4 linked regions of the Rhinolophus ferrumequinum genome follow. The protein of the gene in region 1 binds, or shares a complex with, the protein of each later gene. Links are inferred from orthologs where the notes say so. Each region holds a gene or a part of one and is shown in the gene's direction. Other genes may lie near its edges. The genes, in order: RAB8A, RAB3IP, RAB3IL1 and RILPL2.

Region 1 (7,149 bases):
TGAACTTAATTGTATATAACCAAAACAGAAGAGTTGTTCCAACAGAAGCTCCAGACCTCCGTGTCTTTCTCTTCTCTTGTAAGAAGTTTCCTTTGTTACTGCATCTGCGCTTTGCTGGAAATGTCAAGCAAATTATGAATACGTGACCAAATATTTTGTATCAGAGAAGCTTTGAGCACCAGTTAAATCTAATTCCTTCCTTTTTTTTTTTTTCCCAAATGGCACCAGCTTTTTCAGCTCTATTTTTATCCTTAAATTGCATTTATCACTAAGGTAGGCAGGGTGTTTCCTATTGAACATAGTCTCTTAAGACTGAGGGCATTTGGTTCCCAGGAGATTAGACAATACCACACTTTCAAAACACAGAGTCCAATATCTAGTCACTGGTCAATTTAAAAGGCTGAAGAATAGAACCTCTGAGCCACCAGTGGACACACTACAGGAGGCCGGGGACCATCACATGAAAATGGGTGGGGGTTTTCCTTCCAGAGCAAAAAGGGGGCGGTGCTGTTGTGGGAAGTCATAAACCACAGATAGATTAACCTACTCACCCTGGCTTTTTTCCACATTCTACCATGCAGAACAAACATCTTCTGAGCAGTCAGCATGAGAATGCTGGGGAAATAGTCATAATACTCTGATAAGAAGCCATCCACTCAGCAGGAATGAATATGGTAGAATTTAGTACTGTTCATGGGACTATATCAAAAAGACTAGTCACCATCAATAATTTAGCAAAAGCATTTTTCTATTAATAAATATTGGTCAGAAAAGGCCTCTCTGGCAGCAGAGATAAAGTAACTGGCCTAACTTCATCTCTTCTGTACTTTAGGGAATGGTACATTGAAGATTTACGTGTCTAAGATTTTAATTCCTTCTTCAGGACCAAGTTAATAAAAGACCAGGAAACTCCTGATTAAACTGGATATGGAGTATTTTGTAGACAGGGCTGCACATGTTAGCTTTGTTACATTCTCGCTTTCTCGGTTAACATCTCAGAGCTGAAACATTCCATATTCCCCAGCAGTGGGGGGGGCCAGTTTACAATTCTGACTAAAAACCACCCTGCTTCTAGCTTATCCGACTCCTCTGCCCCTCACTCCTATTTATTACACATCACACTACCCAGGAGATACACTAGCAAATTGTGCAATTGAATAGAACCCACACTTTTCATTTAGATTCTTGCAGCTGTATCATATGTAATACGTAGTATCACTTTTTCTACATTTTGGTCAAATAAATTTTTACATAAACTATAATTTGTGTGACTTTTAGAATGCGTCGAGACATAGAAGGCATTTTGGTTCATTGAATGCATGGGATGCGGAGATAACTGCCACAAACTTAGCAAATTTTATTTATTGGCTGTATACCACAACTTCATGATGTGAGGATTGTGATCTCTTTATTACAGGTGAGAACACTTTGCCTCAGTAACTCAAAAGCTCCTGTCCTTTGTTATTCCCCAGTCCTGCTGAGCCAGGCTGTGAAGAATGAGGAAGGTTTTAATAGATGAGATAGGAGCAGGAAAGATGGTCCCTGTTGCTTGAGTCAGGAAAGCATAGGCCTGCCTGGGTACGGTCTTCTGTGTGTTGAGTATATAAAGGAAAGAAATCCACATTGATAAGAACCTTAATTTGGTCAGGAGTAGAAAGCCCCTGACATTAGGAAAACCCACTTAGCATTCATTTTCAGGAAGGGCTCTTAATAGAATGGAGGGAAACTAGTGGCAGGAAAACCAGTGAGGAAGATGTTTCCATTAATCCAGGGAAGCGTTGGCCGTGAAATCAGAAGGAAGAAGTGATCTGCAAGAAGTAATCTTACGATTTAGCTGACTGAATGGTACAGAACTTAAAAGTGTCAAAGGTGACTGCAGTTTCACTACCTGACTTGCTTTGGTATTTGCCTCAAGATCTGATATTGGGACAGGCGGGTAGGGAATCAAAAAGAGAAATGAAAGCCTTGAAAACACTGATGCAGTATGCAAACAATTTTTTGTTACCAAGTACAACTGAAAACATTTCCTGCTATTCAACACTTAGCTGACACTGAGCTCGTTTAGATGGTAGTTGAGAATGTCAAACAAGTGCCTTACCATCATTACTAAGGTGAAGTTCTTTCTCCCTCCTACCCACCCCCTTGGGCTGTAATCTAATCTCAGGAAATTGTGTTAGTCATCCTTGTGGCCCGGCAATTAACACAAATATTCAGTGTTTATTCAACTGCCCTGTCTCCGCTCTTTTGGAGTTCCCAGGCCCATGAAGTGTGGGTGGAACAGCAGATGAGGTTAGGACTAGGTTGTGAGGACTTTATCCTGCCCGTAGACCATGGATGGACATTGGGTAAGTGCTTTAGAATGGGCACACTGCAGGGTGGAATCTGGATTAGAGAATGATCGGGGAAACCAATGGAGAGAGGTGATGATCTCATGGGTGATGGAAATAGAAAAGCAAGATCCAAGAGCTATTTAGAACCTCCTTCAGAACCAGGATGTGAGGGATGAAAGAAAAGGCTCAAAGACAACTTATTTCAGTAAGAAGGTAATTCGGGACAAGCTAAGTGTGAGTAGAAGACAGTCGAGCTCAGTTGTGGACATGATGAATTTGAAGTATCTTTGACAAATCCAAAGGCAGATATCAAGAAAGTTAGACATTGAGGGATGGCTGGGCGGGCGATGGATTCTCTAAGAAGTGAAAATCACCAGTGTGGTTTCACTAGAAGCCACAGGAAGTAAGATCACTCAGAAAGTGGGAACAGATAGGAAGAACCGTGAGGAACATGGACATCTAGGGGACAATCAGTAACCCCCGCCACCCCCAAAGACTGCAAGGGAATCTGAGAAGCAGCAGCCAGAGAAAGGGAGGTGGACGTAGCTGGTAAACAGGCAATTAAAATGGAGGAGTGCCAAGAAAAGGAATTGCCAGAGGTGTTCAATAGCATCAAATACGGGGGGCAGGGGTGGGGGTGTGGGGGAGGGGGTCGGTAAAGCCTACAAGGTGTCCATGGCTCTGGACGAAGCTTTTTGGAAACATTAATAGAATGAGCTGAAATGCAAGGTCGGGGCGCCCTGGGGCCATCTCGGAAGATCCTCCGGCTCTGATGGCCCACAATGAGGGTTTGGCCCATCTCTGAGAAGCAGGAAACCCTAGTGATCAAGAACTTGGCCTCTGAAGCTTCCCGGTCTGAATTCAAAACCCAACTTCCCACTTCGGGGTCCGAGAAAGTCACTTAGCCTCTGTGGCCTCGGTTTTCTCACCATAAAACGTGGTTAAACAGCAATACCTACCCCACAGGGGGTTGGGGTGGCGATGAAATATTTTGGTATTAAGTGTTGACACCACTGGTGGACACAGAACCAGTGTTCCTCAATATACCTGTAATTCTCATTCTAAATCCCTCGGCGGGTTCTGGACCTCCGAGGGCTGACTGGGTTGGGGTGGGCAGGCTCCAGGGGAAGAACTGAAGGCAAAAAGCGGTCTGGACAACCTCTAATTAGGGCCGAGGGCATGTCGTGAGTTGTCCTAGCGCGCTCAGGTGGCGAAGGCCTGGGGATCTCTGAATAGGTCCCCTGGCCAGAGCTGGGATCCCGGAGCACGTCTCGGGGGCCCTCGCTTCGACTGTGACGATCTCTCTTCAATCCTTTCCTCTTCGGCTTATCCAGGCCTGACGTGGAGGCCCCAGAAAACACCGCCAAAACCATCGCACTTTCCCCCTCTCGCCCTAGCGCCTACTGAGCCTGTGCGGGCCGAGAGGGCGGGAGCCAGAGACCAACCCCACGAGCGTGCGCCCTCTGCTGGCGCCTAACGGTCTCCCCGGCGCGCGTGCGCACGAGCCCCAGGCCCCGCCCCCAGGCTGCGGGCGCGCGGAACCGTTGGTGCCGCTCCCCGCGCTTCCCCGCCCCTCGGGGGCGGGACGGGGCCTCCCAGAGTCGGTGAAAGAAGGCGGGGACCCGGGATGCCACGCCCCCTATCCTGGTCTTCATTTGAAGCCCCTCGACTCCTCACCGCTGGCCAATCGTAGCCCGCCCTGTCCCGAGCGTCGGCCAATGAGCGGCGCTCTCGGGCCTCTTCCGGCTCCGGGCCCCGCTCGCCCCTTCCCCAGATCTCCCCGCGATGGGCGGAGCACTGTGGCGGGCGTCGGCCGCGGTGACGCGCGGCGGGCCGGGAGCCAATGGGAGGTGGGCTGGGCGCTGATGGACGGGGCCAGCGGCCAGTGGCGAGGCGCTGGCTGCACTTCCCGTCGGGGAGAGAGTGTAATATGGCGAAGACCTACGATTACCTGTTCAAGCTGCTGCTGATCGGGGACTCGGGGGTGGGGAAGACCTGTGTCCTGTTCCGCTTCTCCGAGGACGCTTTCAACTCCACTTTCATCTCCACCATAGGTAGCGGGGCTGGGGAGCGGCCGGGGTCTCCGGAGGCCCGGGCTGGGCGCGCCCCTGAGGGGCAGGGGCTGAGGGAGGGGCCGAGCCGGACGGACCCAGGGGTCTGAGGGGGTCGAGGGGGTCCTTGGGGAGAAGAGCAGCCGCCTCCGCTAGCGTTCGGGCGTTCCCGGGCCATGTGGGGGAAACCAAGTGCCCATTTTGCAGATGAGGAGACTGAGGCCCCGATCCTCAGCCCCCTGTTAAGTGAGTGTATGTCCTGGGCTGGGGTCTTGGCGTCTGTCATTTTGTTCTGTCCTTACAGCAGCCCTTAAAGTAGTTCTTTTGGGGTCCCCGTCTTGCAGAAGTGAAACTGAGGCATGGGGAGTTGGCCGTGGGTAAAGACCCCTGACATCTGACTTTATTGAGAATGTACTGTGTGCCAGGCACTGTATGTGCATTATCACACTCTCCAGTTCTCTATATTAGGTCTGTTGTGAGCCCATCTCACAGATGGTGAATTTGAAGGTCAGGGAGGCGTGGGACTTATCTAAGGTCATACAGTCTTCAGGTGACAGCGATGGGATTTGAATCCATATGTGCCTGACCCCAAAACTCAAGGCTCAGCCATCCCAGAGAGTGGGAGCACAGGACAAGCACAGCTGATCCACCTTGGAGCCAGGACTCTAACCTAGACCTGTCCTGTTCTTTCTTCAGGAATAATCAGGGGTTAAGTCTCTAATCCCTGACCCTATGTCCCCCATAGGTGAATTTCCTCTAGAAGGAGTGGTGAGAGGGAGTCCAGAGCCTTTCCCTGCTCTGCCTCCCATCCCACTCAAGGGTCACAGCATTGGCAGGTGACAGCTGCCTTCCCTGGGACCTGTCATCCCCAAGGAGATGCCTGATAAAAAGCTTCAGTGAGAAACCGAAATCAGCCACTGCCACTGACAGCCCAGACTTCCCTATCATGAGGCCCAGGACACCGGTTGTCACTTTGCAGAACAGCCTTTCCCACAAAGCCAGCCCACATTGTGGTTGAACAGAATTGGCTTGTTGCTTTTCAGTTCTGACGGCCACAAAAATGGATCTGACTTCTCCTCATGCCACACAAACAGCTATTGCCCACGTGAAAAGGTTTGACCTGGGAGAGTAATACTGATCTATACAGCCTTGCTCCGCAGTGGAGAAGCTGGAAACGGTTGCCAAGCCCAGGAGTTGATTCTGAATGGAGAAACTCTAGGGAACAGGCTCTGCCTTACCCCAGTGTAACCTGAACCCAATGAACTCATCTCCTGAACCCCACGATGAAATGCTGATTGCCCTCCTTCAGGAGCTGCATTTTGCAAAACAATCAGGTGCCAGGTGCAAAGTAAAGAAAATTGTTCTGCTTGATTTCCAGCTGCTGTTCACCCTTGAACAATCACTTCACCTTTCTGAGCCTTGTTTCTTTAGTTTAGGAGTAGTGCTCTGTGCAGAGCCCTAGGTGGTGGAGGATCAGAACTGTACAATGAATAGAAGGTTGTCTGCCAGGGTCCGTCCAGAGGAAGCAGAGTGACTCCTGTAGTGATAGCGTCCCTCCCTGGGGCACAGGTGTTTCTGATTCTTCCCCTCCCCCGCTCCAAGCTTGAACCTTGGGATAACCCTTGAACCCCCACCAATCACTTAACACCTGGCAGGCTGTGGGTCACTCAACAGAGATCTCACTTTCCCAGTGTCAGGATCTTCCTGTTCAGCACAAGCACTACTGCGGTCAGTGCAAGGGTGGGTTTTTGTTTGGTTTCTGATTCTTGACCAGAAAGTCCAGGCTGGCATGCTAGGGCTCTGAGGAGGCTGGCCTCCACTTACAGAGGAGGCCATGACTTGGGCAAGGTCACCTAGGTAGGTGGAGGTGGCACTTGAACCCAGGATCCCTCCCACCCACTCTGTATTGGTTTCATGAAACTTTCCTGCAGGCCTCTGTCTTCTAGGAAAGTTTAATTCACCCTGACCTTGAAGTTACGGCCTCATAACTCTTAGGTCTCATAAAGTTTACACGTCCTAATTAAATTTGGTGTGTTAATAAAACCCGGGAGGAGGATAGGGCCGAGTGACGTGGGGCTCTGCCAACTGAATGGTGCTTCTTGATTTCATAGGTGCCTTGCATCTGTGATGAGATGGGAGGTGTTCTAGGAAGAGATGACCTGGGCCACTTAGTTTTGAAAGACAACCTAATGCATAAAGGGGAGTCTCTGTTGGCACTCAGTATACCTCTGGGTTTTCTTTATAGATCAGGGATTAAGTGGCTCTTCATTTTCTGCCCAGGTTATGTTTGCCAAAGTCTGTTTTTGTAAGCTCCATTGATTGTGTGTGGTGTGAACTTGGCCCTGTGGCTCCAGGAGTTGGTTCTCCCCAGCCTGGCTTGGCCCTCACTACCTCCTCAGGACCTCATTCATTCATTCCTTCAGGGAGACGGATGATGTTGGTAAAAGTGCTTTTTAAACCATGCAGCGCCACGTAGGTCCCGTTTCTCTTAATTCTTTCATTCAACCATCTTTCTGTGATGTCCGCTGTGTGCCTTGGTACGGGGGCTGCAGAGATGACTCGGATGAATCAGGGAGAAGCAGAACTGTAACAAGGCCTGTAGTCAAGGTGTGTGTGCAGGATGAGGCAGTTGGCTTCCAGAAAATAGGTATTCAGCCCCTGCCACGCTTAGTCACTGGATATGTGGCCATAAAACTTTTTGAGTCCCTGTTCTCATGTAGCTTATGGCCTAGTGGGCACAATTCAAGTGCAGGCTTATATTCTTTGCG
Region 2 (7,688 bases), on another chromosome or scaffold:
TTCAGCTTCAGTCACAACTTGATCCAGGACGTCAAATAACGTGATCAGGACTCACACTGGGTCTTTTTACCTCTCAGATCTGCCTACTCCCTGTCAGTCCCATTCTCAGCCATGTTCTCCATTGCCAGCTACTGTCATTGCCTGCTTGAGTCATTTGCTTATTATGAACTAATCCCAGAGACCAGAGACCAAGATTCTTGAATTGGGTATGCGTGGGTCACATGCTCACCTTGAAGTGGGGGGGGGGGAATTCAGTTCCATTTGAATCATGTGAACCGAACATGGTGAAAGTGTACTTCCCCAAATAAAGTCATTGTGCTGATCCCCAAAAGGATAACGATGCTGAATATGAAAGAGAGGGAGCGAGGGAGGATCTAATTACTTGTTGCGTCAGACAAATTCATCCTCTGAAATGTTTTTCCTTGCCTGTTTTCATTGCAATATAAGCACTCACTATCTCATAGTAGCTTCCTATCTAATTTCTTTACCTCTAGTCATTCCTCACTCAAGTACGTTGTCGGCATTGCCACCACGTTCCTCTTCCTAAAGCACTGTTTTGATCATTTCACTCTCCAGCTCAAAGTCTTACAGGAACGCTCTTCTGACCACCACATGGCATTTATGAAATACAATCTGGCTCCCATGGACATTTATGAGCTACAATCTGGCTCCCATGTATCTTTCTAGGCTTATCTACCTGCAGTTGTTCCATGTGCTAACTAATCTGCATTGCTCACCATCCCTGAACACACTGCATGTTTTCCTTACAACGTCTTTGCTCTATTTGTATGTTCTACCCCATCACTGTTTCTTTGACCCTAAGTCTGATCTCTGATGATGAGCCAGACTGCTAGTTTTCTCCAGTATTTGTCCTCCCATTCTTCTTTAGTATTAGAACCACTGATTTTTAGCTGGGCACATGGCCACTTAAAAGAGACTACATGTTTGAACATCACTTAGTCAAGTTCTGACCAATAGGTGTAAGTGTGGTGATGTATACAACTTCTCCACATGTTCTTAAGTAAAGGCGCGTGCTCTTTTCTTCCCCTATCTCCTTTCTATGTTCTGGAAATAAGGATGTGATAGCTGGAGCTTGAGCAGCCATCATGGACCATAAGGCAGGAGCTGCATGTTCAAGATGGTGAAGATACAAGAGAGAAGACGGCTGTGTCCACGTTGATCAGAGAGCCACCACATCAACCCTGGACTTCCTACATTTGCAGGAGAGGAATAAATTTTATTTTGCTTAAGTTACTGTTATTTTGAGTTTTTAACTGCTATGGAAACCAATCTCTCCATGAAAAGATTATAAATATACAACATTGTATATATACATGTAAATATACAACATTTTCTGAACTTTGAAAATAGAACAGAGGCAAACAAGCAATAAAAATTATAACTAAGGGTAACAACCTTACAATGATTTGTTCAATTTTAAATTTCTAGATATCTGCACTCATCTCCTTTGTTTTCTGGTCCCAGGTATGGATGGGAAAGTCTTAAGATTTAAAAAAATATATAATATTATTTTATATGTTGTATTTTCCATTCAAAATCTAAGCAAAATGGGGGCATTATTTTAAGGATACAAGGATTTCTCACAGAACACATGGGAAATGATGAATGAGGGAAGTCTCAGAAATAGACTGGAACCCGGGACTGAAACACTGTGGGGAGCCAGGAAGCCCTCTCATTAAGTCTCACCTCTCCTTCTCTTTCCTCTTCCTGCAGATTATTTATGTACCTGGCAGAGAGAAGCAATCAATAAATATGTGTTTAATGGATGGCAAATTGTGTGTGTCTGTGAAATAAACGGGATCCAAAGCCCATTCTCAAAACATTTCCTTATACGTATGTAGCTTGTTAAAGTGACTCTTTTGAAGGAAACCATACTTTTTAGAGTCTAAGCTCCTTTCTCTCAGCCCTCAGATCTTTTCAGTCGTTCATTCCAACATTAGAAAAATGGCCTGAAATGCAGAGTTGTATATAAGTGACCTAATGAAAGATACTTTAGAGACAGTTCTGTTTTTGTACAGGAGTCGCGAAGGCAAATTTTTATGGGAATGTGAGCAGTGAGCACTGACACACAAGTAACTATTTTGCTAGACAAGGAAATGATAGATTGCCCTTGGTACTTTTTTCCCAGTAACCACACCCCCTTTTTTTTCCTCTTTATTATTTACTGTCTGAGTTCCTGCTTTTACCTAGTTTTGCCCTTGAGGGTTCTTGTCAGCTGATTGATATGTTTGATAAGATGTTTCATATATTTTATTTAGCACTTTTAGTTGTTTTTGGTGGGAGAATCAACCAGTATCTAGTCTGCCATACTGCTGGACATGAAATCCAGTATGCTTTTTTTTTAAAAAAAGAGTTTTAACTTCATTTGTTTGTAATATATTACCCTGCATTCTGCAGACCAGAGCCCTGACTCTGGTGATCCAAGTTCTCCATCTGTAACAATGAAGAATAACTACCTTTATACCTATGTCAAATTATTTTTTTGTAAAGGACTCATGACATACTTTATGTGAAGTCTGGAAAGTACCATGTAAATATAATTACTGGAAAGTACCATGTAAATATACAACATTTTCTGAATTTTGAAAATAAAACAGAGGCAAACAAGCAATAAAAATTATAACTAAGGGTAACAACCTTACAATGATTTGTTCAATTTTAAATTTCTAGATATCTGCACTCGTCTCCTTTGTTTTCTGGTCCCAGGTATGGATGGGAAAGTCTTAAGATTTAAAAAAATATATAATATTATTTTATATGTTGTATTTGACATTAGTTGTATACTGTCATTTATTTTTCAACGAAAGAGAAAGGAGGCAAACTTGAGCACACTACAAAATCACACTACAAAATATAGTGTGATTTTCAGCACACTAAAAATCATGTTTTTAAAGTGGTGAAGTATCTATCTCTTTAACTTATGGTTGGGCAATCTAACTTAGGATGCTCACAACACATTATATATTTTGCAGGCTGAGATTCTGAGTATCTAACACTCTGTAATGTACTTTGGTTTCTGTGCTGCAAGGACACTAAAGTATTATTGTAGGTAACTACCCATATCACTCTCTGCATTCTCAAACTATGATGGCAGATTAAGTATGTGAGAGAAAACACCTGTAAGTACTCATAGATTCCAAATAGCCTCATGGATAGTGGGTGATTTGTAAATAAACCAACATCGGATTTAGACCTATGGCTATCGCTTACTATTTCCTACAGATGAACGATGTCTAAGGTCCTATGTAGAATATATTATAGGACTGGTCCTGTAAACACTTCTATACCAAGAGAGTACATCTCCATGTATGTCATTCACCCATTCTGCATTTATTGAGCCAGCCCTACTACATGTCAGGCCTTGTGCCTGTTCTCAAGAAGCTCACAGTAATTGACATACGTGTATTTGTCTCCCTCACTATGTTTGAGTCTGTGGTCGAGATTATGTGTAATGGTTTCTATGTCCCTTTGTCCAGCAGTAGGCACATAGATGGAGCACAATAAATGTCTGATGAATGAATGGCATTCATTCATGACATGACATGAACGACATGGTATAAGGAAGAGTAGTTAGGAGTCTATTAATGAGGAAGGTCATATTTAGCAGCAGTGAATATGAGGTAGGATAGATTTAAGAATTATTTGGGAATTTGAATGGATAGGACTTGATATATGGGAAATGTGGTATAAATGAGTAAATAACGACTTTCTAGGTTTCTGTTTGGATTATAGGTGGATGATAAGAGTAATAATGTTATTAATAATACAGCTAATATTCGTCAGGCACTCTGTGTCATGCGGTACACTAAGTGTTTACATTATTTAACCATTTAATCTCTCAACGACTCAGTGAGGTAAGTACTCTTACCATCTTCCTTTACTGTTCAGAAAATTGGGGCTATTTAAAGATTAACTTGCCCAAGGTCACACAGCTAGTAGGTGGCAAATTCAAACCCAGGAATTCTGATTCCTATAGCCATACACATAACCTACTCTCTTATTCACTGCCTCGAATAGATGTACTCAATATACAGAATGATGATCCTATTCCATGTGTGTATTACATAAGTTGCACGTATCCATTTTAGTTAGACAGAGACACACGCGGTGATTGCTCTTTTTGATCAGATTTTAGGGGCTTGGTTGTGTACTTTCACTTTTCCTACCTGGAGTTCCTAAAGAAGTGTGGAAGTTTGATAGAGTTGACACAAAAGATGAGAGAAGGCAGGTACAGAAACGACATTCTCGAATGCTCTAGCAGCAGCTGGGATGACGGGATCTGGGTTCTATCGGACTCTCCACTCCCCACCCCCAACACCCCCGACACACACCCACACGCGCACGTTATAAGGTCTATATGGACACCAAGTTTCTCAGGTTGGTTCTAGCAGTTGTTAACTAACATCGAAGGTTCTTTTTCCGTCTCCGGCCGAGCCTAGCACACTCGAAGTTAACCCAAGACCTCCTATGGGGCCCAGGGAAACAAGGCTGTGCGCCGACTCGGGCTCGTTCCCCGGGAAACCGCCCTCAGCAACACCTGAGGCCCAAACCCCGGTACCTGGGAAAAGCACCTCTAGGCGCCAGGGGGCGCGGGAGCGCGCAGGCCCCTCGGGCCCCACGAGGCACCGCCCCAGCCCCGCCCCCAGCCGGCCTCCCCACGGCGGGGCCGGGCCGCTTCAGGCCCCGCTCACGGCGCAGGCGCAGTCCCACGCTCCCTCGGCGGCTCCCGGCGCAGTGCGCCCGCCGCGGCGAAGTGTAGCGGCGTCGGCCGGCGGTCGTCCGCCTCTCGCTGCTTGGGGGCGCGCTCTGTGGGGTTCTGTGAGCGCCCCTGAGCGCGGGCAGCGGCCGTCGTGGGTTCGTCAGGTGAGTGCGGCCGCGGGACGGAGAGGCCCGCGGCGCGGAGCACCGCCCCCCCTTGGCGCCCGCCTCACGCGAGCCGGCCTGGGGGGCGGCCGTGGCAGGTGCAGCTGCGGGCGCGGCGGAGGGTGCGGTGCACGGAGATCCGACCCGGATGCCTGGCCCGGCCAGCGCGCGCCCTCGCCTCGGCACGCGCGGGCTCCGGGACCCCAGTAAGCGGCGGCGGAGGCGCGGGGCTCTGGGCATCTGGGCACCCCCAGGGACCGCCGGTGGACGTCGGGCGGCGGCGGCTCCTCCCCCGCTCCCCGGGCACGGGCGCGTTACTCATTAACTGCGCGGTCCCGAGCACCCACGGCTGGGAGCCCGGAGCTGGGTTACCTGTAGGCGGGGCGCGCGCGGCTGAGGGCACGGGGTCGCGGAGGGGAGTCGAAAGAGAGTTCCCGAGTAAGTCTGGAGCTCGGTTCAGCGCAGGAGCCGGATCGTGGTGAAGCTGTAGGCGTGGACCAGGGGTCTCAGTGAAAGACGTGTGAGGCACCATCTCGAGGCGCAGAGGTCACTCTCGGGAGGTTTCGGTGAAACCTGGTGGGCAAGAACAAGCGCCCTGGAGTCGTGCCGTAGGAGGCAGCCCAGTTCAGCCTGACTTTTGTTTCGGGGAGTTGAGACGAGCTGCACAGACAGACATTATTGTGATTACATTGCTCTTCCAGCGATGACATCTCGCTCCGACCGCCGGGGGAAAAGCGAGCTTAATGGATTCTGGAAGTGATGGTGTTTGGTGGGACCTACAGCGCGAGAAGAGTAGCCAGTGGTTAAGGGATTAAAAAAAACAATCTGTAAATGGCTAAAGGGTAAATTGAGAGCGCTGAGTTAATACCGATTCCTAAGAGGCAAACAATTTAGTTTCGAGGAAATACAACATATTCCAAAGGCTACCTGTTTCACACTCTTGTGTTTCTCTCTCCAGCTCCTTCATTTTAGTGTAGGGAAAGATCCGTGTAATCTTTTGCCATGGAATGATTACATAATTGGAGCAGAGGCCGATAAGAGGATTAAAGCAAAACTGTTCCATTGTAAATCTATTGAAAGACCCAGTTTCTGTTCATTATCCTCACCCTCATTTTTTGTTCATGCAGTTAAAAAAACAAAACGTGAATGACAAATCAAGGAGAAGAGGCAGAATACATTTGTAGACCTATCATAGTGAATATCTGATGCTGTTAAATATTCCACCAGTTTTATGGGGCCTTGTTCTGTTAACATTTGTTATTTATTTACTAGTACTGTGCATTTTGATAGGACTTTTCATTTTTGGGTGGACGTTGTATCCCAAATATGGATTAAGTGATCTAATCCTGAAGCCCTTGTGGAATGTATAGAAAAAACTTAGCAGTTATGTACAATTTTACTACAATGGTGTATTTCTTGCTGTTAGAAGAAAAGCCTTTTAATTTTTTTCTTTTTCCACTACCTTAGTGCATACCTTTTTGAATCAGAGTGGATACATTTGTTTTTTTTTAGGTTACTTAATCTATTTCTCCTTCTAATTTTTTTTTTTTTTTTAAAGGAGGACGCAACCCATGCGCGGCTCAAACTGGCAACCTTGGGTTATTAGCGCCAACTGAGCTAACCGGCCACCCCCAAAAGTGGATACATTTAATACAGCTCTTTTTTATGTGTTTGGCAGTCAACCCACTCCGTGGTATTGAATACCTCTAACCTCTCATCTGGATGGATATTTGATGTTCAGCTGCTTGTGGGGTTTGTAATCAGCCAGGTTTCTAATTAGATACAATTGTACTTTTTGAATTAGTGTCCTTATGTATCTTCTTCCTTTAATATTTTTCCTCTATTTTTCCCTAAACCCTCAACCACCCCAACACACATACAGACACTCCACAAATAACTTTTAAAGTTGAAAGATTCTTAGAAATCTAGCTCCCCATCATTTTTTTTTAATATGGCAGAACAAAAGCTTGTAGGTTACAGTAGTTTTACATACATTATTGTGGTTATAGTATTCACCTCCTTTCCTCTCATCCTGAGCAGGACTCATTGAATCAATTAGCTGGCCAAATGAAAAATTATTAAATCTTAAAACAATTCTTTTTGTAAGTTTTAGCTCCCTTTACTTACTGTGCATGTGACCTTGAGTAAATCACTTCACCTCCCTGAGTTTATTTTCTCCATTTGTGAATTGATACAGTATTAGATGGAACCATATGAATTTGCTAGTCGTCACCTGTTTTTCATATGGTTCAACCTAATATTAAGTTTTTAATGGATGAAATTTAGGGAGATACTCCACATGGGATGTGAGGAGGTGGGGCAAGGGAGACATATAAACTTGACAGTGGGCCAGGCCCAGTGCTCTTGCTTTAGGTCCCTGTCTCCTTTAGTCCTGGGGACATTCCTGGGATATAGGTGGGATTGCGTTTTACAGTTTAGGAAGTTGAGGCTCAGAGAGGTGAAATAACTTGCCTATGGTTACTTATTTGCCAATGGTGATATAGCTGATTAATGGCAGAGCCAGGTTTAAAAACTGAGTGTGACTGCCCAAAATGGAACTCTTAATGTGCTTGCTTCTTCCATTCCTGGTCTACACACCTTCTGAAAGGTGTTCTTATCATTTGTATTTCTGGCTTAAAAAATATTCCAGTTTTCTGATGATGGTGATATACTGGCACCATTGGGTAGAGTTTCCCATGTATCAGGTTCTGGTCTAAGCACTATAGAAATTTCCTCTCACAGTGACCTAGGAGTTAGGTAATCCCTAATTCCATCCCTTTTTATAGTTGAGAGAGGTAGCGTGC
Region 3 (6,984 bases), on another chromosome or scaffold:
CCTTTAGAATAAAGTCCAAACTCTTTAACTTGCCTCCAAGGCTTTTCATGATTCATCTGAAGCCTGCCCATGTAGTCTTTTCTTTACTGTCTTCCAAATTAGCTTAGAGCTCTAGCCAAAGTGAAGGGTTCATTTCTTTCTGTGTGTGCCCTGCTCTGTCCCACCTCCAAGCCTTTGTTGCTGATGGTCCCTCTGAATGGAATACCCATCCTCGATTTCTAATATATTTAAATCCTGCTATTTCTTCAAGCCCTCCTTTCTCAAAAAAAGCCTCACCTTACTCTTCCTCCTGAGAGAGTAAATGGTAGAGGGATAAGAACATGAGCTTTTGGAGTCAGAAAAACCTGGATTAAAATCCAAATTTCATCATTTGTTCACTGTTGCCAAATCATTTAACCTTTCCCAGTCTCAGTTCCCTCGTCTTTAACATGGAAACAGAAGGCAATGAAGGACCACAGTGGGTCACTGTGAGAGTGAATTAAGTCTGATATCAAATGTACATCTCCTAGCAGGGTCCTAGCCCACTCCACATTCTGCCATTTTGGAATGGAATTCGAGAACCAGTCAAAACTTCAGGGACGGATGTGACTAGAGGGACAGAGTAAGGTACCCCCACACTGTCCCTCTAGTCACATCCGCCTCTGAAGTTTTGACTGGTTCTCAAACTCCATTATGTGGCTGAGCTTTCCTACTTGGGAGATGGAAGTGGGCAAACAGGTTCCACCTGGGAGAAGCCAGCCCAGGCCCTTAGTCACCGTGGTGGGATTCCCACACCCGTTTGGACCCAAAGGAATCTCCTCTCTCCTTTCTTCATGTGAGCACCAGTGGTTTTTTCACTGGGAAATGTTTACGTCTCCAAAGGGGTACACTGGCCCTCACGATCAGTACTCATAGTATGGTAAGTCAAGCAGAACAAGGATAATCCTATTTTAGGGTGGGTAAACTGAGCCTCGCACTATCTTTCATACAGTTGGATCTAGGACTTGAACTTCTCAGTCTTACTCAGAGGCTCTCAGAGCCCTGGGCAGTTGTGGTGGGGAATCGGGGGGGCTCTGGCCCCAGAGCAGGAGATGGCGCATGAATCCTGGCTCCCAGGGTCTCCACCGCTTATCCACATGCTGGCAGGAAGCTCAGTGTCTGTATTTTCTTTGTGAACCTTGAGTAGGTTATCTCACCTGTGTCATCATTTGGGAAAGAGCAAGGGTATGTATGTCTCTGGGGCTGGGGGTGAGGGCGGGGACAGCACGGACCATGAGACGAGCAAGCTAGGATCAGGAACTCTGGATTCCAGCCCAGCTGTACACCTGCCTGGGCCGAAGTCCTGCCCTCTCTGGACCCCAACTGCCCTACCTGTAAAATGGGGGCGGTGGTAGGTAGAATGATCTCTGTCGTGGAAGCTTAACATTCCCGAAGTGCTGTCCTGGTCCAGCCCCTCCTGGAGCCCAGAATGTCCCTGGGGCCTGACTTCACCAGGTTGGCCCCACCAAATATCTGACAGCATTCGGCTGCCTCCACCCTCTGCCCTGTCCTTGCTCCAGGAGCCTGAGCCTGACTCCAGCTCCCCACCATGCTGGGACTGAGTGGGCAATGTCTTGGTCAGTCCTGAGAAGGGGACCTCCAGGCCCACATTTGACTTCTTGATCTTCTTCCCCTCTCCCTGGAGCCAGCATCCTCTCCTCCCCCCCTCTTGAAATCTGAGCTCAGGGATCCAGGGAGAACTCTCCCTGCAAAACATTCCATCCAGTTGTCCAAACACCCTGCACAGCTGGCGGAGGGAGGGGCGGCCAGAGCTGGGGCTTTTGAAAGCCCTTGGGCTGTTGTTTTCATGGAAATGGCGGAGTCTTCACTGGGAGGGCCAGCCCTGGCTGCCCTATGGGGTTCACAGGGCCCAGAGATAAAAGAAGAGCCCCCAACACAGGCACTCCTAGGCTTGCCCAAGGTCTCCCTCCCGAGTGCCCAGCCCCTGGTGAGGAAAATCCATGTCTGCCAGGCCAAGTGTGCACCACCACCTCTCCGCCTGCCTGCCGGCTAGAAGGTGGCTAGACAGCGGGCGGCTGGAGACCTTGTGAGCCTTCCCTCGTGACTGGGCTAAGCGGCGGGGGAAGGGCAGGAGAGAATGATGCTGAGATAGCATCCCCAGAGGTGACTTCCGGCAGCAGCTTTTACTGGCTTGCGGTCTCGGAGCTGGCTGCCTCTAGCCTGCAACTCACCAGTGACCCAGGGCAAGTCTCCAAGCCTCAGTTTCTTTCACCTGCAACAGCAGAGGGTTGGGCCTCTTCTGGCTCTGATTTTTCTAAGAGGTCACAGACTAGGACAAGACCCTTACAGCTCTCCATACAGTCCCAGCTGTGCCCAAGGGTCCAGAAAGTAGCAAAATTTTCTATACAGTTCCCAGAGCAACTCTGACTCAGTTTCCCCCCGAAGGGATGGCTGAGGCTTGGCAGGAAGGGACTATCTGTCATATACTTTGTTACCAACAAGGCTGAGCCTCTTCCCCTCTTGCCATGTTAGGGTGATGGGGAGACCCCCCCCCTTCATACATCCTGTTTTCCATTAATTGTTTCCAGGTGGGCCCAGAGGTTGCCCTGCAGAGGAAGGTGGGGACACGGAAGAATTTCGCAGGGGGATCAGTGAGGAGCAAAAACAGGAAGGGGGTGGGAGCAAGCCATGGAAACTTCATTGCCAGGAAAGGGAGGCCAGCATCTGGTTTGCATTAGGCTGAGAGAGAGCTCTGAAGCCCAAAGCCTGAGTGGGAGATATTGTTATCCGCAGGCGGGTGGGTGGGCGGGGTGTGACTTAGTCAGGAACTGGCAGCTTCTCCCCAGCGGGAGCTAGGAGGCTGACAGGAAAGAAGAAGGAAGGCGAGGGAGAAGGGAATAGGAAACGCTTGTTTTCGTCTCCACTGTGGCAGGCACTTCATGAATGTTCCCTCCTTAGATGTTCACAACATCTCAGGGGAGGATTGTTCCCATTTTATAGATGAGGGAACTGAGTCCCAGAGAGGTTAAGGGACTTGTCCAAGGTCACACAGCCAGGGAATAGCAGAACTAGGATGAGAATTCTGGCCAGATGAGACAGGGTGGAACATTCAAGTCCTCTGGGGTGGATTGAGGCTAACCATGTGCCAAGCAGGGGGCACTGAGGATTTGATGATTAGTGTGTGTCAGTCTATGCCCACGGGTCACTCAGTGGGGGTGTCCAACAGTGCCATGGGGCACTTGCCATGACACAAGGCAGACCACGTGTCTGAGGGTGGGAGCCCAATGCCTAGAGAAGAAGAAAGCAATTCACAGATGGCTTCCTGGAGGAGGGGGTATGAGCAAAAGAGAAATGTATCAGCAGGGGTGCGATGGGGTGGAGGCTGAAGGAAGAGGGGTTAATGTGCGGAAAAGGAGGGTTGTGGGGTGTATCAGGGCAGCTGGCCTGGTGTGCCTTACAGGGTGAGAGTCCATTTTACAGCTGGGGAAGCTGAGGTAAGAGAAGCTAACATGCCCAGAGGTTCACGTCTGGAAGTGGGGTAGAATCCAGCCTGACTCCAGGCCTGTGTTTTTAACTGCTTTATTGAGTGGTGCCTTTTTGTTGTTGGTTAAAGTTAAAGTTTTGAAGAGGATATTGAGGCCAGGGACCAGGGTAGGGGAGGCAGGGAACCTTGTCCAAAGCCACATGGCCAGCTCATGATAGAGCCAGAGCTGGACAGGTTATTTCCAACTTGCCATCCTGGGCAAGGAGGGGACAGGCAGCTGTATCTGTGGGCCTAGTTGAAGCCCTGGGGCCTTGGGCATGGAGACGAAGGCTCCCATTTCCCTTTGAGGACTCACCTTCCCTGGCCCAGAGCCCAGGAAGGACGGCCCCAGGGTTTTCTGCTGTCAGCTCAGCCACAGGAGTTAATAATTACGGTTTAAGGCGATAGAAGCTTGTCTGGGAGGCTCCTCCCTCACACGCAGCTGCTTCTCAGAGATAGCAAAGGTTAGCGTGAGCCTGCGGGTAGGGAGAAGGCTTCTGCCACCTGCCTGCCTGGCATTCTCCAGAGGGACCCTCGGTCCAGCCCTCCAGGCATGGACTCTTCTGAGGAGTGTACCGGGTGCCCTGCCCGAGGGAAATGTCCCGTGTACCTGGCAATGAGCTCAGGGACTGTTCGCTATGCTGCACTTGAGGGGAACTTGAGAGAGGAGCCTTGGGACACAGACAGGTGAGCTAGTGACCTGGGACATGGAGGGGAGGGATGCATTTGGCCACTCTACAGGAAAGTTGGGGGAGGGTGTGAGAAGCCAGGGTCCCAACCGGGGACTGGCCTAGGACAATGAGGAATTTCATGAGCCTCCTACAAGGTGAGTGCCAGGGGGTGGCCACGATTGTCTTGTCCAATTTGGTTATACAGATACAGAATCTGAAGCTCAGAGAGGGCATGACACTCACCGTGCATCACACAGTGAACTGAAGACACAATCAGGGCCTGGGTCATCCTGGCTGGCAGTTCAGCTCCTCATCTGCCTCCAGCCAAGGGTCTGTGATGGGGGTAGTCAGGGGAATTGCGGGGGTCAGATTTGGGGAAGGAAGGAGCTTGGGGGCAGAGGACACACCTTTTATTTCTCCCTCCCAACCTGTGGGCCAAGCACCCAGTAGGCGCCTCTTATTGCCTGACTGCCTACAGCTGCAGCTTCCAGTGAGTCCTCTGGCTTCTGGGCTGTCTTCTCAGAACATTGGTATGAGGGGTCTCAGTCCCACCACCCCATGGCTGTGTGACATCAGGCAGTTTCCTTAACTTCTCTGAGCCCATCCTTTTCAGCTGAGGAGCAGAACTTCCTGGACTATAGGAGAAGCTAGTGAGCCCTGGAAGTCCAAGGTAACTGGATGCATAGACAGGATATTTTTGGCTAGTAATTGGTGTGTCAATGATCTCAGAGTGGTGACCCCACACTTGTCGTTTGAGGCCTCGCTCAAGGGCCTCCACAGCCCACCAGCCCTTCCACGCTGAGGATTCTTCCTCTAAAGCCATAGCCCTGGGTGGACACACCCTTCACCCTTTATCTCTCCCTAGTTGGGGTTGTCAGACTTGGACCAGGTCTTATCTCCTGTCTGGGCTCGTGAAGATTTGGAGGGTAAGGGGCCCGACCTGAGCTCCCTTTGTGTCATCTTCTCGCCCTTCCCCTAAGTAGTGAGCAGAGCTAAGGGCCAGGAAGACAGCAGTTGCTCAAGTCTTATTTGGTGAAGGATTCAAGTCAGTAAACATGATGACATCTGCTTTCGGCCAGACCCTGGGCTGGGGTAGGTGCAGAAACAAGTGCCAAGAAGGAGCAGGTCCCCGTCCTTCGGAAGCCACAGTTGTTGAAACAATTGCCCTGCAGAGTGAAGGATATGTGGGGCCTGGGCAGGATGATTCTGCAACGATGGAAGGGATGCCCAGGTTGTTGACTGTGCAAGGCACCAGCCAAAGGAATGAGCGAACAAGGCATGAAATCCAGCCTACTCTCCGCTCACCAAGTCCTGCACCTTGGTGTGCCCACCTAGGAAAGGAGTACCACTGTCACTTTTGAACAAAGATACCATTCACTTAGCAAGGTAGTGTGCCTTGGACAAGTGGTGGTGCTGCAAGTCCTTGAGAGTATGTCCCCCTCCTTCCATCTCCCCCACCACACTGGAGCCCCAGGAGGACAGAGACTGTGTCTGGCAGTTTCCCTTTGGGTCCCCAGCCCTGTATGGCCCATAGTTCATACTCAGAAGGGGTTGAATGAATGAATGAATGAATGAATGAAAAATGTGTCCCCAGATGGAAACCTGACACACTCAAGCCTGGAGCCCTGGCTCTGTGAGGCTGGAAGAGTAGCGCCCAGAGTTCTGGTAGCATCTGGAAGAAAAGTACTTTCCTAACTCTCCCAGTCCTCCTCTAGACACAGAGAGTGGGAGCCCTTGTCCCTCCAGGAGAGAAAGGGGGTTATGCTCTCACTGGATCCAGCCCCAGGCTGAAGTTGAGGCAGATGGTCAGGGCAAAGCGCTCAGGATAGGTGACAGGGACACAGAGACTGAGGGACACAAAGGCCAATGGTCTGGGATTCAGGGAAAAGTTTTGCAAAGGATGACGGACCAGACAGGTGTGTGTGTGTATGGAGGCGGGGTGTATTCCTCGACAGAAGACCCTGGGCAAAGGCAAGGAGGGGCAGGGCTGGCATGGCAGGAGAGGCTGGGGTTGGAGACTTGGGCCAAACGTGGGTCCTGCCCGGGATAAGCACTCAGAGTAAAGACGGAGAACACTTGTTTGGGGGGTCTGCCAAACAGGCAGGATGTTGCACAGGGACAGGCAGGGAGCCCAGGGAAGGAGGGGTGGCCAGAGGGCCAGGTGAGGGGGTGGGAGGCTGTCTGCTGGCTCTGAGTTAAGAATGAGGGCGCTGAAAGCCCAGGAGCCTTTGCAGGTTCTTGAGCAGGGTGGCCCAGGGTGGGTGCCGCACGGTGCCTGTGCCGGGGCGGTGACTGGAGAGGGAGCAGCGGGGAGCGTCTGAACGCTGCGTTAGCAGCCGCATGATGTGGATACGGCTCCTCCCCGCACTCCGCCGGTGGCACAGTCCCGAGGCCCACGGCCGTGGGGTTGGGCGGGAGCGCGCGAGCTCTGCGCTGGCCGGCGGAGGGGCGGGGTTAGGCACGTGTCCTCGGGCCACCCTCTCGGCCACGTGACCCCCTGAGGGCAGGGTCGGGGCTGGGCTGGGGGCCCGGGCGCGAGCCGGGGCCGCACCGACAGACAGGCGGCGGGCAGGGCTGACAGCCGGCGGGGCAGGCCAGCCGGCCCGGGGCGGAGTCGGCGGCGGCGGCGGGGACGCGGCACAAGGGAGATCGCGGCGGCGGCGGGGACGGACGCCTGGACGCCCCGAGGCGCCGGGATGTGGAGTGGGTAGGTCCGCGCGCGCTCGCGGTTCTGCGCGGGGTCGGGCTGCGGCTGGGAGGGTCGAGGATCGCTGCGTGGCCTGCGCTTCCCACTTGGAGGTGCTCTGCTCC
Region 4 (7,825 bases), on another chromosome or scaffold:
GGATCACCATGACTGCCACATCTATGTAATTAAAAACTATTACATACAAAATTAAGTATATACAAAATACTTTCTGAACCAAGCAGAATATGTGGAGGGCAACATGGACTATTCTACTAGAGATTTCTATAGAAGTTTCACACTAATACCATCTTAAAGCCAACACTTAGCATTGGGCACTGAGCTAATAAACTCATTTCATTCTCTCCTCAGAGCTTGGAGGAGTGTATTGTTATATTCCAAGGTGGGGCCTGGGCTGTCCCAGGTAGGGTGGAGGGCCTTAATTCCTTCCCCACCATAATCTCCTTCAATGCTCCCTCTAGCTCACCACCCTGAATCAATTTTTCACCTAAATTTAAAAAAAAAAAAAGACAGAAAAAGTGTACTCTTACACAAACCCGGCCTCAAAACAAGTGCCCTGGGCACCACCCTTCCTGCAAGGAGATTCTTTGATAACGACCTTTAACTCCAAGAGAGGAAGTCACTGGTCCAGGATTGCAGGCATTTAAGCCAATCTGGGAAAATCTCCAAAATCCTTGCTGTGTCCAAACAGGATTTAAGGGTAAGAAGACTAGGAAATCATTGAGAGAACAGGAAGAAAGTCATAGTGAGTGTTCCACTCAGGAAATAAAGGGTGCCACCGGTACTCAGAAGAGCATCAGATCTACTGTGCTTGATGTACCAAAATAGGGCCACCAGACATTTACTGATTTAACTTTCCTATTGGTGGACTAATTTAGCCCCCAAACATTTAAGGTTCCATTTTTATTAAGTGTGACCCACCCACTTTAGTTTCCCAGTTCTCTATTTCCTTTGTTTCACCCTGAGTTACTTCATACTCCTTTTGCAGTCACTTTGGTTTCTACTTAAAGGCAGGGGGAAAAAATATGCAGCTGCATGCCTGTCTTAAATCTCATGGGAAGAGTGTTTTTGAAATTATTTTTAAAACGTCATATAATGACGTTTTAAAAAGTTTTGTGGTAGTCATATTCTATGTGTGTTACTGATCCAACTTTCCATGTCTTGTTCCCATATAATTATATGAACTTAGGAAATGTCTTGTATTTCGTATTTTGGTGATAAAAGTAGTTTATAATAATATCCAACATCTACTGAGCACTTACCCTCAAATAACACCCTGAAAATAACACCTGTTTCCCTGAAAATAACACCTAACTGGAACATAAGCCCTAGCATGATTTTTAATAAGACATCCCCTGAAAATAAGCCTTAATGAGTCTTTTGGAGCAAAACTTACTATAAGACCCAGTCTTATTTTCAGGGAAACACGGTAGGGCTTATTTTCAGGTGATGTCTTACTAAAAATCATACTAGGGCTTATTTTCCGGTTAGGTCTTACTTTCGGGGAAACACAGTATGTGCCAGACACTGTTGTAAAGAACTTTACAACAATTGTAGGAAGTCAAGTCTATCCTTATCCCCATTTTACAGCTGGGAAAACTGAGCCCAGAGTAGAGGCATAATTTACTTGCCTACCATAACACAGTTTGCAAGTGGCTGAGCCAATCAAGATTTGAGCACTTTGTGGTCTGATCTAGAAGCCATCCTTTTAAACACTATGCTGTCACTCATTGTTTTTCAAACTTTTGTGTGCATCAGAATTACCTAGAGGGCTTGTTAAAACAGATTGCTGGGGCCCACCCCCAAAGCTTCTGATTCAGTGGGGTCGAGAATTTGCATTTCTAAAAAGTTTCCAGATGATGCCTAAGCTACTGGTCTGAAGAGCACAGTTTAAGTACTTCTGCTGTGACTCATAATTGTTTTCATAATTTCCCAATGGAGAAAGAAGGGTCATGATTACCTGCCAGCAGATTGTGTACTTGTACAAGGGATCTAAGAGTTAACGATCTAAGATCATTAACACTTCATAATAATAGCCAACACTCCCTGATTTTTATGATGTGCTAAATGCGGGACTAGGCACTTTTCATGCATTATCTCATCTAATCCCCACATCAGTCTTGGGGAATACATTTATTTTTCCCAGTTTACACTGAGGAAATGGGGATTTGAAGAGATTGGGGAGATTGGTCCAATTTATGCAGCTGTGAGATTCAAGTCAAGACTACTTGAACTCGACAGCCCTGTTTACTACACTACAGACTCCGCACATAGTAAATGCTCAGTAAGTAAACTATTAAATAAATGAACAAAAGAATCTTTTTTTTTTATATCAAAAGCGTAGCTACTCAATGGAAGACGTTTTGACATTCTAAAGGCATGATGTGCTAGTTTTCACTATGTAGCACAGGAGTATAAAGCAGGAAGGAGTATAAAGCAGGAAGGAAGCTTTACAGGGTAAATTATTGGGGAAATTTCAAGGCAGAAGGAATTTTTGACAAACAGTGGTGCAGAAGAGATTCATGCCAGCAGTGGTGGCTAGGGATGCTGAAGGAAAAAAAAAAGAAACTCAGAGACATTAAATTCTTTGTGACAGCATTGCTCTGGGAAGGCTGCTTCCATTTACCAGCACTGAAACATAATTCACATATAAAATTAACCCATGTAAAGTGTACAGTTCGGTGGTTTTTAGTATATTCACAGTTGTGCAACCATCACCACAATCTAATTTTAGAACGTTTTCATCACCTCAGAAGAAACCCTGTCCACCTTAGCAGTCACTCAGCATCCATCCTCCCCCAGCTCTAGACAACAGATAATCTACTTTCTGTCTCTACAGAATAGATTTGCTGTTCTGCACATTTTACATAAATGGAACCATACAATACGGGCCCTTTTGTGCCTGGCTTTTTGCACTTAGCAGAATGTTTTCAATGCTCATCCACGTTGTAGCATGTGTCAGTGCTTCATTCCTTAGCCCATCCCCAGCACTTCATCGAGGTATAATTTACCTAAAGGAAATGCACAAATATTAAGTGCACAGCTCCACAACTTTTTACCTATGCACATACTCATGTGACCTCCACCAAGATCAAGATATAGCACATTTGTATCCCTCCAGGGAACCTCCTTATGCACTTTTTAAAAATTTTTGGTAAAGTACAGTACACATAAGATAAAAACTACTATCTTCACCATTTCTAAGTGTACTGTTCAGTAATGTTAAGTATACACACATTATTGTGCAACCAATCTCCAGAACTTTTGCATCTTGCAAAACTGAAACTCTGTAATTTATTAAACAATTGCCCAGGCCCCCAACCCCTGGCAACCACCATTCTACTTTTCTGTTTCTATGAGTTTGGATTCTAGATACCTCATGTAAGTGAAATCATATATTATTTATCTTTTTGTGACTGCCTTATTTCATGTAGCGTAATGTTCTCAAGGTTCATCCATGGTGTAGCCTGTGTCAGAATTTCCTTTTTAAGGCTGAATTAATATTACATTATGTGTGTCATACCACATTTTGTTTACCCATTCATGCGTGGATGGACATTTGGGTAACTTCCACCTTGTGGCTAGTGGGAATAGCGCTGCTATGAGCACGAGTGTGCAGATATCTCTTTGAGACATTCTTTTGGATACATACTCAGAAGTGGAATTGCTGGATCATATGGTAATTCTATTTTTAATTTTTTGAGGAACGTCCATACTGTTTTCCATAGTGGCTACAGCATTTTACATTTCCACCAGCAGTGCACGAGGGTTCCAGTTATTCCACATCCTTGCCAACACTTATTTTCATTTTGTGTTTTTAATTGTGACCATCCTAATGGGTGTGAGGCGATATCTCATTGTGGTTTTAATTTGCATTTCCCTAATGATTAGAGATACTGAAAAGCATCATTTCCTGTGCTTATTGGCCACTTGTATATCTTTTTTGGAGAAATGTCTATTTAAGTCCTTTGCCATTATTTTCTATTTTTTCATAACAGCTTTATTGAAATATAATTCACGTACCATGTAATTCACCCATTTAAAGTGAACAATTCAAAGATTTGTCTATTCACAGAATTATCACCTTAATCAATTTTAGAACATTTTCTTCACCCCCAAAGGAAACTCCATACTCTTTGGCTATTATACCCCAGCCTTATTTTTTTGTTCTGTCTTTCAGCCTAAGGCAACCCTAATCTACTTTCTATCTCTATGGAGTTGCCTATCTCTATGGATTTTCTGGACATTTCATAGAAATAGAGTCATACAGTATGAGGTTTTCTGTGACTGCTTCTTTGACTTAGCATAACTTCTCAGTGAGAGTTGTGACAACATGTGTGAAATCCTGTCAATGAGGGAAGCTCATTAGAGACTCTGTGCAAAAGGTATTTATTGGGGACTGGCCATGCAGGCCCCCTGTGCCTACCACATACAAAAATTCCAGACTCCCAAGAGGAAAGTCAGCATTCACCATAAACCGTGGTGTTTGTGCAAACAGTTAAGGCACAGTGAGCTACTCTTATCAGTTGGGGTCATGGTAACCCTCCCCAAATCAAGTTCCCAGAACCTAGCCAGGGGCCAACCTTGCAAGCAGCATTTTCAAACGCTAGCATTCTCAGGCCTGCTGTGTTAACTCTTTTCTGCACAGATTTTTATAGGGACTGTGCTGATTCTGTCGATTAATGGAGATGTAAGATGGAGGATACTGCCATCTTAACAACACTAAGTATTACAACTGATGAACATGGGGTGTCTTTGCACTGATATAGGTCTTTCATTCCTCTCAGTGATGTTTTATAGTTTCCCGGGTACAAGTCTTGTACTGCTTTTGTTCAATTTATTTGAGTATTTTATTCCTTTTGATGACATTCTAAGTGGAATTGTTTTTCTTAATTTCATTTTCAGATTATTCCTTGCAAATGTATACTACAATTGGTTTTTGTGTATTGATCTTGTGTCCTGCAACCTCAAGCTTGTTTATTAGCTCTAATGATTTGTTTTGTGGATTCTTTAGCCTGTTACTATGATGGATTATTACATAGACTGATTTTTTTGAACCAGACTTGCATCCCTGGAATAAAATCCAGTTGGTCAAGGTATGTAATACTTTAATGTGCTAAATTCTGTTTATTAACTTCTTGCTAAGGATTTTGCATCATCTATTTTTACTTTGCCCCCACCCCCTCCCTTTTTTTTAAGGAGGGCACAGCTCATAGTGGCCCATGCGGTGATCGAACCGGCAACCTTGGTGTTATTAGCACCATGCTCTAACCAACTGAGCTAACTGGCCACCCAACTCTGCCCATTTTTTTAATCAGGCTATTTTTATTCTTTTGTTGTTGTTGTTATTGCATTGTAGGAGTTCTTTATATATTCTGGATATTAACCCCTTATTTGAAAATATTTTCTCTCACTCTGTAGGTTGCCTTTTCACTCTGTTCATTATGGTTTTTGATGTACAAGTTTTAAATTTTGATGTAATTTATCTATTTTGTCTTTTATCTATTTTTTTTTTCTTTTGTTGCCTGTGCTTTTGAAGAGATCATTGTCAAATCCAATGACACAAAGCTTCTCCCCTATGTTTCTTCTAAGATTTTTAAGAGTTCTAAGGTTTAGGTCTTTGATCCATTTTGAATTAATTTTTGTATATGGTATAAGGATCCAACTTCATACTTTTGCATGTGGGTATCCAATTTTCCAACACCATTTGTTGAAAAGACTGTCCATTCCCCAAGGAATGATCTTGACACACCTGTTGAAAATCATTTGACCGTATATGTGAGGTTTTATTTCTGGGCTCTCTATTCTATTCCTTCATGCTTTTCCCGCTGAATGATATTCCATTGTATGATATACCATATTTTATTTATGGTAAGCCTAATATTTCACTCAGTCTTTAATCACTGGTGTTGTAATGTCTGTAATTTATGGATTACCGACCCTTTGCCCTGGAGCCTCCCTTTAATCATGAGAACATTGTACCCTCTGAAAATAGTATGTTTTGTTTGTTTGCTTTGCTTTTTGTTTGTTTGTTTATTTTATCTTTGTCCACTGTCCATTGTGATTTTAGAACTTCAGTGTGGAGAAAATCAGGTCCATCTACCACAGAGAGAGCTGGCAATCTATTCCTGGGAAAGACAAGCTCCATTGCTGAGTTTTCGGCGGATGACTATTTCGAACCTCTAATCAAACCTGAAGTGATTGGTTTCGTAATCCGCACTGTTAATATTCTCAGTCATACCCTGTGTATCTGTAGGGGACTTTCTAATTTTCAAAATAGACTGAATTTTTTGTCGTTTATTACTCCTCCCACTCCAACCCCTGTGTGGAAGTGTCTTACAGGCAAGCTTAATGTTTGTTGGAGGAAAGAAAGAAGAATACCAGCTAACATTTTTTTAGTGCTTCCTAAGTGCTTTTTGTCACACGCATTATCTCATGATCTCCTCTAATATATTCTTCGCAGCAACCCTCCCACGTCAGTACTGCTATTTACAGGGGGGGAAACTGAGGCTCAGAGGAATTAAGTAACTTGGCCAAGGCCAGAACGTTGTTAAGCTTAGGAGCCCAGGAATGAGCAAAATGCAGAGCACAGGTTGTCTCCATTTTATGGACGGTCAGATGCGTCAGGGTTGACGACAAATTGGCCTGGGAACTCCGCGCATCTTCCTCCACGGAGCTCCCTCCACGTACATTGCACAGTCTAAGGCTGGAAAGCTTGCGTGTAGGAAGGAAAAAGTTGTGTGCTTTTTTACCCTCTTTCCCGGACTCGCGTGGGAAATTCCGCCCTCGTCTCCATGGAAACCGGCGTCGGTCGCGGCTGCCGTTAAGGGCGGGGCTCGCGGCCGCAGCTCCTCCCCCGGTTTGCAAAAGTTCCCAGGCGGGGAGCAGTCACTGTCACCCCGTCACCTCTCCTTTCCTCTTTTCGGCTGCCTTCCCTTTCCGTTGTTCTTTCGTGCCCCAAACCACATCCTGGAGGCCGCTCTTCTGCACCGTCCTCAGTGGAGCCTGCGCACCCGGCGTCCCGGCGGGGGAGCAGCGCGAACCCGGCGTCCCGGCGGGGGAGCAGCGCCTCGCGGCCTCCCTCTCCGCCGCCCCCCCCCGCCCCCCCCCCGGGCCCATCCCTCCGCTGCGCTGATTGGCCGCTCCCGGGCCATCCCCCAGCCGTGGGCAGGCAGGGTCCTCTGCCCAGCGGAAAGTTTTCCGAGTCGGGAGGAAGTTGGACCTTTGGAGACTCCCAGACGGCGGCTCCCGAGGCTGCAGGGGGCTGGGCGGCCATGGAAGAGCCCCCTTTGCGAGAAGAGGAAGGGGAGGAAGAAGAAGAGGAGGGTGACGAGGCTGGGCCCGAGGGGGCTCTGAGGAAGAGCCCCTTCCAGCTGACCGTGGAGGACGTGTATGACATCTCCTACGTGGTGGGCCGCGAGCTGATGGCCCTGGGCAGCGACCCGCGGGTGACACAGCTGCAGTTCAAAATTGTCCGCGTCCTGGAGATGCTGGAGACGCTGGTGAATGAGGGCAACCTCGCGGTGGAGGAGCTGAGAATGGAGCGGGACAACCTCAGGAAGGAGGTGGAGAGGCTGCGGAGAGAGGGCTCCGCGGCCACCCGCGAGGTGAGTGCGGGACGAGGGGGCTCGGCCCCAGCAGCCTGAGATGCGTGGGGGAGCGCCCACTGGCAGGGAGGCCCCTTTCCTCTCTCCAACATAGAGCCCCTCGAAACAAATCACTGCAAGAATTCAGTTCTCAGAGTGAAAGCATTACGACAGTTAACATTTATTGAGCATTTACTAGGTGCTGGGACACGTGCTGAGTATGTGGTAAATCAGTGGCTTCCAGCGTGTTTGACCATAACCTAGAGCCATGGTTCTCAAGCTTTACCACGCATCACAATCACTTGGAATGTTCGTTAATACACAGATTTCCTGGCCTCAGCCCCAGAGTTTCCAGTTCAGTAGGTCTGGACCGGGAC

The links.
Region 2: the proteins of RAB8A (region 1) and RAB3IP are in contact, whole or in part, in a crystal structure (PDB 4LHX), measured with the Homo sapiens proteins. The link is inferred for Rhinolophus ferrumequinum from reciprocal best matches to the Homo sapiens genes RAB8A and RAB3IP. Residues at the interface, in NP_005361.2 of Homo sapiens: Lys10, Phe33, Ser35, Thr36, Phe37, Ile43, Asp44, Phe45, Lys46, Ile47, Trp62, Ile73, Ala76, Tyr77, Arg79, Gly80; in NP_783322.1 of Homo sapiens: Ser199, Arg202, Asp203, Gly206, Leu209, Glu210, Thr213, Ala214, Phe217, Glu218, Ala220, His221, Val224, Asn228.
Region 3: the proteins of RAB8A (region 1) and RAB3IL1 are in contact, whole or in part, in a crystal structure (PDB 4LI0), measured with the Homo sapiens proteins. The link is inferred for Rhinolophus ferrumequinum from reciprocal best matches to the Homo sapiens genes RAB8A and RAB3IL1. Residues at the interface, in NP_005361.2 of Homo sapiens: Lys10, Phe33, Ser35, Phe37, Ile43, Asp44, Phe45, Lys46, Ile47, Gln60, Trp62, Thr72, Ile73, Thr75, Ala76, Tyr77, Arg79; in NP_037533.2 of Homo sapiens: Arg104, Glu108, Leu111, Glu112, Thr115, Ala116, Phe119, Glu120, Ala122, His123, Arg127.
Region 4: the proteins of RAB8A (region 1) and RILPL2 are in contact, whole or in part, in a crystal structure (PDB 6SQ2), measured with the Homo sapiens proteins. The link is inferred for Rhinolophus ferrumequinum from reciprocal best matches to the Homo sapiens genes RAB8A and RILPL2. Residues at the interface, in NP_005361.2 of Homo sapiens: Ile41, Gly42, Ile43, Asp44, Phe45, Lys46, Ile47, Lys58, Trp62, Phe70, Ile73, Tyr77; in NP_659495.1 of Homo sapiens: Leu135, Leu138, Arg139, Leu142, Gln143, Arg145, Asn146, Lys149, Ser150, Leu153, Glu157.

Annotation. Positions count from the first base shown.
Region 1 is NC_046301.1:49,742,415-49,749,563, forward strand, and holds the start of RAB8A (ras-related protein Rab-8A), read left to right. Parts: upstream 1-4,136; 5' UTR 4,137-4,173; coding exon 4,174-4,384; intron 4,385-7,149. Other genes in the region: TPM4 (tropomyosin alpha-4 chain), read left to right, coding at 1-19. UniProt on the Homo sapiens protein: The small GTPases Rab are key regulators of intracellular membrane trafficking, from the formation of transport vesicles to their fusion with membranes.
Region 2 is NC_046293.1:65,679,273-65,686,960, forward strand, and holds the start of RAB3IP (rab-3A-interacting protein), read left to right. Parts: upstream 1-4,684; 5' UTR 4,685-4,884; intron 4,885-4,968; exon of another isoform or gene 4,969-5,090; intron 5,091-5,256; exon of another isoform or gene 5,257-5,455; intron 5,456-6,562; 5' UTR 6,563-6,636; intron 6,637-7,688. UniProt on the Homo sapiens protein: Guanine nucleotide exchange factor (GEF) which may activate RAB8A and RAB8B. Promotes the exchange of GDP to GTP, converting inactive GDP-bound Rab proteins into their active GTP-bound form.
Region 3 is NC_046294.1:9,034,440-9,041,423, forward strand, and holds the start of RAB3IL1 (guanine nucleotide exchange factor for Rab-3A), read left to right. Parts: upstream 1-3,972; 5' UTR 3,973-4,055; coding exon 4,056-4,189; intron 4,190-6,714; exon of another isoform or gene 6,715-6,869; coding exon of another isoform or gene 6,870-6,880; intron 6,881-6,984. UniProt on the Homo sapiens protein: Guanine nucleotide exchange factor (GEF) which may activate RAB3A, a GTPase that regulates synaptic vesicle exocytosis. Promotes the exchange of GDP to GTP, converting inactive GDP-bound Rab proteins into their active GTP-bound form.
Region 4 is NC_046308.1:4,394,852-4,402,676, forward strand, and holds the start of RILPL2 (RILP-like protein 2), read left to right. Parts: upstream 1-4,815; 5' UTR 4,816-4,958; intron 4,959-5,932; 5' UTR 5,933-7,136; coding exon 7,137-7,469; intron 7,470-7,825. UniProt on the Homo sapiens protein: Involved in cell shape and neuronal morphogenesis, positively regulating the establishment and maintenance of dendritic spines. Plays a role in cellular protein transport, including protein transport away from primary cilia.